Linked DNA regions of Solanum lycopersicum. The main gene of each other region encodes a partner of the protein of the gene in region 2 in a complex. Links are inferred from orthologs where the notes say so. Each region holds a gene or a part of one and is shown on either strand. Other genes may lie near its edges.

Region 1 (4,288 bases), on a different chromosome or scaffold from region 2:
CTCTCTTATTGACACGAAATAAAGGTAGTTCATATATGTATTCCAGGAAAAGAAAAACTCTAAGGTCCCTCAATGCTTTGAGGTTCTTCCACCTATCCCTTAATGTACCTGAAATCTTAGTATAGCATCTCTTATTGACATAAATAATAGGTAGCTCATATATGTATTCCGGGTAAAGAGCAACTATCTCAGGTACCACAATGCTTTAATGGGTCGTTTGGATTAGAAGCAAGTTACAGGGGAATTAGAAATGCATGGATGGCAATGTAGAGATTGTAATGTAGGGATTGAAATGCAAGGTTAAGGTTATAATACAAGAACTGTAGTGGAAGGATTATTTACTCAATGGATGTTAGATTTGTTATACTAAAGTGCATATTAAAAAATATTTTTTAAATTCTTTTGACAAAATAAATATTGGATAACACGTGAAGGGTTATTTTTGTCATCTCGTAATTTTACTCCATATTATACTATCCCCGCATTCTTATCTTGCATAAAATAATATATCGATACCCGCATAACTTAAAGAGGATATCAGTTATGCGACAAGAGAAGTGGAAACAAAAATTGTATTATAAATATCCTAAATTTTATGTGGAAAGGAAGAATGAAACCAAACATTATACTAACACTAAGTATAAGTGGAGATCACTTTCTCCACTACTCCCAACCAAACATCACCTAAGTTCCTTCCCCAACCATTGATGTACCTGAAATCTTGCTATGATGGTATATGCTCTTGAGATAAGGACTTATTAAAGCACCTTTGTAAAAAACACTTCAACAAGTTTAGCTTCTTTTTTAGAAAATCATTAGATGTTAAATGTTCTAACACTGTTCATTTCCAAGACTGGCAATTTAAGGCTAGTGATCAAAATCAAGGAAAGGTTCAACTTTATCACTGACTATTAGGTTTGTCTAACATTTGCCTGCGTTTACTTCCCTTTCCGGTCCATGAAAGCCCCAAATCACTAATTCCGTCCCATATTTTTCCCTCCCTCTTACGACTGTCCAGCACGGCTCTATCTTTTTCACGATAGAGCCAGGTAGACCAATATACCCTTACAATTGAAGAAGTCTATAAAGCCTAAACAACTGAAAAGGTCAAATATACCCTACGTGGCTGACCAACTCTTCAAGGTGGAGGGGCACATTTCATACGAAAGATAATTGTGGGGGATCCTTTGACCCGAAAGGTGAACAGAGGAAGGATATAACACAAATACACGTATTGGGTATATTTGCACTTTTTTTCCCATCAGGAAATTCTCTCATACAAAGAGAAACTGGAAAAAAAAAGAACTATAGCTCACTCGCCTTTCCCTCACTTCAAACACATGTACCATGGAATGTACCATTTTCACCTTCTTGCGCAAATGGCCCACTTGTGAGCTATTTGCTTAGACGACCTACTTGTTGGAAGTCCTACTTGGTTGAGTTGCTTATTTGACATCCTAGTAACTTGAGCTACTTGAATCAAGGGCGACTCACATGCTTAAGGAAATTTAATAAACTACTAGTCTAAGCAAGTAACTAGTAGGTGCCTACTTAAGAACGAAGTTCCAGATGTAAATAAGACAAGTAGTTGCATCACCTACTTAAGCCAATAAACCAGGGAGTTAAGCAGGTGATGCATCTACTTGACTTCTTTAAATTTTGGCCCTTTGTTCTAAAGAGGTGATACACCTACTAGTCACATACTTAGACTAGTAGGTCATTAATTTTCCTTAAACACGTGGGTTGCTCTTATTAAGCAACTAGGACATCTAACCAACTAGATCAACCAACTAGGATGTCAAAGCAAGTCGGTGAAGCACATAGCTCAAGCAAATAAATCCATGGAGTTATTTATACATCTATATAGTCCTTAATGGACTTGAAAGATGGGCCTTGGGCGGACCCAAGACAGCCCCCTTTTGGTCCGTATCTTTGGGCCATAAGCCTTTAAGTAGGTGATGGACCTACTTTTTTATCTTTGGCCCTTCATTTTTACGTAGGTGACACCTACTTGACTTCTTTAAATTTTCAGCCTTCGTTCTTAAGGAGTAGCTAACTCAGAGTTGTTTTACATAGTGCCAAATCCAACTAATATCATCTTCATAGTGAAACAATCCAATCAAGGCAGATTTGAAGTTAGAATTTTGCTTTTAATAAATTAAAATGTAAAACTTAAAGATGTGTTTTTTGACCTATTAATTCATAACAACCAAAATTTCAGCATTTGGGAGATTTCCCAATGTTTATCACTTATTTTCCTTTGTCAGTTAATTTTAACAATTGCAACTGACAAGGTTTAACAAAATCTAAAATCCTGATAAACCTATTTGGTTTAGATTTGCTATGAACAAATTAAACGAACACAAACTCATCAAGTTAACAACAGATATGTGTATATTTGAGAGAATTTACCAGATGAGAAGGGTTAAGCTTTGCCCTTAGTGAAGATTCTACTTGCTCCTTCATCTTCATCTTTCGAGAATACTCTTTTTTTTCTTTGTTATTTGCTGCCAAAATGCCCCAAATACAATTCTTCTCTTCCTAGGTTTTTACAATTTTTATATACGAATCCCAATTTCTACATTTTATTTTTCAAGACGGGTTGACCCAATATTTGCTCATAAAATCTTTATATTATTATGTATTTCTAAATTAGATTTAAAAAACACTACAAGTCAAAATAATTGATATATATATATATAATGTCTATGATAAAAAATTAAATTTGTTTGAATCTCGAAATAAAAAATGTATCACATAAATTGCTTGCAACTAAGGAGTACTTTTTTTCTCTGGAATAATTTCTAAGTTGATACTTGAAAATTAAGATTTATGAACACAAATTGAAGTCTATTTTTTTGTGTAAAAACAGTTTTGAAGTTTTTAGAAATTTAAAATGGAAAATTATACAAATTCCATGTTCAAATAATTTTTCAAGAAGAAAAAGTTGAATTGGCGATGGGTGAAAAATGGCAACATAAGTGGAATAGGGAATATTTGACGACAACAATATGGCATATAATCCTATAAAATTCGAATAAGAATACCCAGTCTACTTGGATTAACTTATATTTTTCACTTTCATAATATTTGAATAAAAAAAATTGTATTTTAAAGCACTTTCATGGTGTTTGTTAAAAATCACAAATTATGGCTTTTGACAGCCATAAGCCAATCCAAACAGACACTTCTTGTCTCATTCTAGAGTTAAGTAAACAGAAGCAGCACGGTTCACAAATATCCAATGCTATAGGATTTCAACATTACTAATCTTGTGCTTTGCAAAACACATGTACTAGACAAAATCACAGACCACCTACAATAGTCTACTGCAGCACCTTAAACAAAATATAGCGTGCTTGCAGATTTTCATACACCACGATGCCTCTCCTCATCAAGTAGTCCGGAGTGGAGGAGACACCAGAATCACACCATCTCCACGAACAAATAGGAACGGGATGGTCCGTCTCGTCGCCTAAAACACAATCAACAGAGAACCAATGTCAGCTGCTTTTACAATCATTAGAAAACCATTCCTCAACACACAACAACTCTTGCAAAAAGCAATTCTAATAAATACATTCTACTCATGGGGCCAATCTAGGATATCAACCACTATGATCAATAGCGAATCCAGGGTTTAAATTTGATAGGTTTTGGGATAAGTTGAACCAATGTTCGATTTGTTTTTAAATTTTAGTAATTCTTCACAAAGATCTATGATTAGTTAAACCCATTGAATATATGTGACATCCTCCACTATGACTAGATTTAATATAGACATTTGCCTTAATTATAAAATTTCACAACTATACAAGGAAAATAGAGATTTCAATATGTTAAAACTTGGGAATTTTGAAAGAATAAAACCAAGTAAGAAAAAGAAAACAATGCTTTAAATTGGAACACAAGATGGACCTTGGAAGATTGGGAGTTGTACATTGAAACACACGTGAATTGACACCCCTCCTTCTTAGGATACACCCCTGATTCCACTACAAGTGAAAATACGAGAAGAAACTTCTCGAAACTTCAGATGGAAAAGGAGCACCTAATCTTCTAAGGGGGTATCACATAAGCGAAAAGCAGATGTCCCTTGGTATATTTTTTGAGCATCACCACTGAACACTATTGAGGGAGAAATGAAACAAAATACGAGAGAAACAAAGACATATTTGTCAAAAAAAATAACAACAACATTATCTGCTGATAGATAAAAGCTCACTTAGAAGTTGGGATAATTCTAAAGTGAAGTCCTATTGACGTAGAGTAGGTGGCCGTCAAAGCC
Region 2 (4,343 bases):
ATCGGTGTACACTATTGAGGCAGGACGGTAAATGTTGAACCTCCGTGGAAGTTCATCCGGAAGACAAAATCTGCCATAAAAGTAGCCTTCTTTGGGTGGACAATAGTATGGAACTTGTAATAACTCAAGATTATCAAACAACAAAAGGGCGAATATGTGGAGCAGCGGCAACTACATGTGCATTCCATGAGCAAAATCAGTAAACAGCTTTTTCTACACTATGAGGCAGCCAAAGATATCTAGAATATGTTTTCTTTGGATGTCTGCAATGAATCAGGTCATATCTAGACAATTCTTGAATGCCCATCCATATGGAAAACCTTCCTAATTAGAAAGGCAGTTAGGGAACATTTGGGATACAATCCCTTTGTTGTGTTCTCATATAGAGTCAACTTATAGATATTACTAATTAGGGACCTTACATTGAGGAACTTGGCAATAAGAGAGCAATTTGATAAAAGTACAATAGGGTTAGCAATCTAGATGCAAGACTCAAGAGGTAGCAAAGATTTTCTTACCCATCACATTTTTAAAAAAAAATTGAAAAGAGAAGCCATTTTAAGGTTGGCCCACTATCCCCATTTTTCAAAGGCCGCAGTTGGTCCAAAGGGCAGGATCCAGACAGATTTCTTGGTATTAAAAAAACCAGTTAAAGACTTCAAAGGATGTGAACGAATGGAAAAAAGGATCAGCTTAGCAGTTGCGTGTTTGGGGAAGAGAAGATATGATCGACAAGGTGAACTATGTGGTGTAGGAGGTTGAATTGACTACTGAGTACAGAGAATTCTACATTCTGTCCAAGTTATTTATGGTAGTTATACCAGTTCTTCTCAGCAACAAAGTGCTCAATCCCCAATTTCAAGAGTTATGATGATTCACCATATTAAGAACAAAACTTCAACTTGACAGTAGTTCATCAACATAGTAAACAACTAAGGAAGTATAAACCATGTACTACACCTTCCAGTTTGGTAACATAACCTAAAAACACAAAAAACTGTTCTTAGGGACCAAGATTAGAATCCAGGCAAACACAAAAGACACTAGATGATCTCTTCCCATCTACCTCAACTTTGATGGGCAAAGTTACTTGTAACTGTGTTGGTGGGAGGTAGCAGGTACACATAAAGAGTCGAGGGGTGCAAATAATTCAAAAGTTCTGATGCATATTGAAGTATCAATTTGTATACCTACCTACAACAATGTCACAGCCACCAAAGAACTCTCCATCAATGTAGAGTTGTGGAAAGGTTGGCCAACTGGAATACTCCTTCAATCCTTGACGAAGTGCTTCATTTTCAAGGATATTTAGTGTCTCGAAGGGTGCATTTAGTGCTTTTAATATCTGAACCACTGTATTTGAGAATCCGCATTGAGGAAATTCCTTGGTCCCCTTCATGAACAACACGATTTTTTGTGATGTGACAACCTTATCCAGCGTAGACTTCAAGTTAGGATCCAGAGCTACAAGACATGAAAGTGAATAAAACACATGTCAGCAATTCTTAGATGAGTGACTTACTACCTCGGCTATTCTTAAATGAAAACATAAGTTGTACATTCCAAGCATAATAAGAGAAATATATAAATATGCAATGATAAATAAACACAAAATGAGCAAAAGGACGCCCTGTATAACATAACATCACAAGAACATAGATGCACACAACCTGGAGTAGCCATAAGGTTGGGGGAAGATTTCTCTGACACTCTTTTGTAGGCATAAATTGATAGATAGTACAGTTATATGTATCCTTTACTTAAAACCATCAAGCAAACATCCATTCTTCAAAAGCCTGATTGATAGGATGTAATTTACCAAAGATTTCTATTTCAACAAGTCCATCCTTGCCATCACAACTTTTCTAAGTAACGACAAAGAATGCCAACATAATAGACTTGCAATATCCTCAAATACGATCTTTTCCCTCTAAGTCTTGCCTCATTAATTGCTCCGGCTAGCAATTAAGGGTCTTTCATTCTAAGTGAGCTTCTACCACCAAATAGACTATCAACAAACTTATTCATATCTAACATACCTTGCACAAAACTTTAAACTTTCTCTCCACCTAGGAGACTAAGCTCCCCATAGAGGACTGGTAAGAACTTAAGTCTAACTGGCCAAGTATTTCTACTTGGGATCTTGGCCTACTATGATAGATGCTTAAAATAATGGGTAACTTACTTACTCAGCTATTTACTCTGTTTGCAATTTGCAATAAGGATAAGAATTACATCATAGACAGCTAAATTTGAATCTAAAGATTCACTTTTTCGTCAAATGAAACAACCCCGAATTCTGCTTAAGAAACATAATTTAGACATGACAATAAACTGATAGTATAACTTACTACTAACAGAAAATGCATTAATATACAACTAATTAACGTAGCAGAAAGCAATTACGTCCAACACCATAAAAAAGTTTAGATTTCTCCGTCCTTCAATCAGAGAAAGTAGTACTAAAATAATTGCAGTGGAAGAAATAAGCACAGAACGATTGAAAACCCTATAAGTTGGAATATATGATGATGCGAAATTAAATTTTACCAGATAGACAACGAAGGGATCTTAACCGTCCATCCCGTTTGCCGGTAGCAATTGAGCTACTGGGAATGGCCGAGCTCTGAAGAGCACGACCGGAATGAACCGTAGGAAACGACAGAAAGACATCGGTCGTACGTTGAGCTGCCGAGGTTGTAGTACTCCTGATAACGGAGGGGAGTTGCCATTGAAGCGAAATTCCGAGCGACATCCTCACTTTCCTGTGAAGTCTTCTTTCACACGAATCAGCGCTAATCTATCCCTATGCCATTAAACAGTCAAGCGCTCATAACCGTAGATTTACTTTACAAAGACCCACCCAAAAAAAAAAAAGAGTAAATTATCAATTTAATAGTAGAAAAATGCGATAACTTAACTTCATTTGTAATTTTGCCGTATTAAATTTTTTATACTCTTTGTCGTTACTCCCAAGATAATTCCTTATAAATTTGTACTAGTGTTGTTTAAAAGTCTATTTTTGCTAGAAGGCAATTGTTATATGGAAAATCAAACAAAATAGTTGGCTTCTCCCCTAGCCTTTTAGCGAAATAATTTTAGGTAGGTATAAAGAGAACATCAACAAAAACTTAAAGTGGATAGAGATGCCATCTCAAGAACTTCATAAAGATCGAATTAGGAGCAATCCAATCTTTTACTACCAAACACAAGTTTCATGTTGGAGCAGGTAATCAAAAGAGTTTTTTAATCGTTCAAAGTAAATGCCTAAATTAAACTTGCTGCCGCTACAACTCCGTAACAAAGACCGGAATTTAGCTCTATAACTAGATAGCCTTAACGAGAGAAGCTGTAAAACCTATACATATCGACTGGAAGAAAGGCACTAGCAAAATTTGATCGATCACAAGGCCATTGACCCCAATAGTGTTTTTACTGTTTCCTTAGACATGTACACCATTCCCATTGCGATAAATCCCATCTAAAGATCCATTGGCAAGAGTCGTTCCATTTCCATTTCGATGCAATTTTTCGCCAGATGCTGTACCATTGCTAAGTCCATGAGTCGGTGTTCCACCCTTCTTCAGGAGACAATCAAGCTGCCCGCATGCTGCTGCTATAAGCCCTGTTCAGAGAAATAGGAATAACACATCATAACGAAGAGCATTACATTCAAAACAAGAGACTACTCATAACCATTAGGAGCTGGACGTCACGGTTAAAAAGACCTTCATTCACTTAATTCCTTCAAAGTACCAATCGTTAGTTTTATGTCTACAAATCAAATAATCTAAGATTGTATACATTGACTTTTCTGGATCAACTAGAAGCGAGCCACATATTGAAATGCAAATACAAATGTTGAAATGATACTTCCAAAGTTCCAAAGTAAGCATCAGGTATTCTAGCTGGCTATGAGCGGAAGGATAAAGCAGGGAGGAATACCTAAGAACACGGCAGACGGTTTTCCTGGCCTTGATTTAAATTCAGGATGAAATTGAACGCCAATAAAGTACGGATGATTAGGCAGCTCAACAATCTGTACAAGAAATAGAAAATTAAATCAATAATACTACGAGTATCTAGCATGAATTCGTAATACAATCAGACAAAGGTTCACCTCCATGCGACGACCAGTTTCATCTTTGCCAGTGAAAGAAAGGCCAGCATCTTCAAATTGCTGCACCATATCAGGATTCACCTACACAGCACAAAATAAGTTTTGAGCATACGTCCCTTGCTAAAGATATCACATCTTATAGTCCACATATAGTTAAACCAGTCCACCTAGCTGTGCAATAGTTACACCACTGTTCCAATTTACAGAAGAAAAAAAAGTGGTG

What was found. The genes of interacting proteins can lie anywhere in the genome.
Region 1: the proteins of glutaredoxin (region 2) and protein BOLA2 are in contact, whole or in part, in an NMR structure (PDB 2MMA), measured with the Arabidopsis thaliana proteins. The link is inferred for Solanum lycopersicum from reciprocal best matches to the Arabidopsis thaliana genes CXIP1 and AT5G09830. Residues at the interface, in NP_191050.1 of Arabidopsis thaliana: Lys130, Ser133, Asn134, Trp135, Pro136, Thr137, Glu146, Phe147, Phe148, Asp152, Ile153, Glu156, Ala157, Thr160, Glu162, Glu165, Glu166; in NP_568217.1 of Arabidopsis thaliana: Arg46, Leu47, Leu48, Arg50, His51, Arg52, Asn55, Met62, Ile65, His66, Ala67, Leu68, Ser69, Ile70, Lys71, Gln74, Gln78.

The regions. Positions count from the first base shown.
Region 1 is NC_090810.1:868,457-872,744, forward strand, and holds the start of protein BOLA2, read right to left. Parts: upstream 2,872-4,288; 5' UTR 2,473-2,871; coding exon 2,413-2,472; intron 1-2,412. Other genes in the region: sm-like protein LSM3A, read right to left, coding at 3,395-3,475. UniProt on the Arabidopsis thaliana protein: May act either alone or in interaction with glutaredoxin as a redox-regulated transcriptional regulator, or as a factor regulating Fe-S cluster biogenesis. The GRXS17-BOLA2 heterodimer binds a labile, oxygen sensitive iron-sulfur cluster.
Region 2 is NC_090801.1:62,097,791-62,102,133, reverse strand, and holds the start of glutaredoxin, read right to left. Parts: upstream 2,866-4,343; 5' UTR 2,756-2,865; coding exon 2,551-2,755; intron 1,465-2,550; coding exon 1,195-1,464; intron 1-1,194. Other genes in the region: uncharacterized protein, read right to left, coding at 3,444-3,625, 3,946-4,039, 4,121-4,201. UniProt on the Arabidopsis thaliana protein: May only reduce GSH-thiol disulfides, but not protein disulfides. Probably involved in the regulation of the redox state of the BOLA proteins. May act as Fe-S cluster donors to Fe-S cluster-requiring proteins.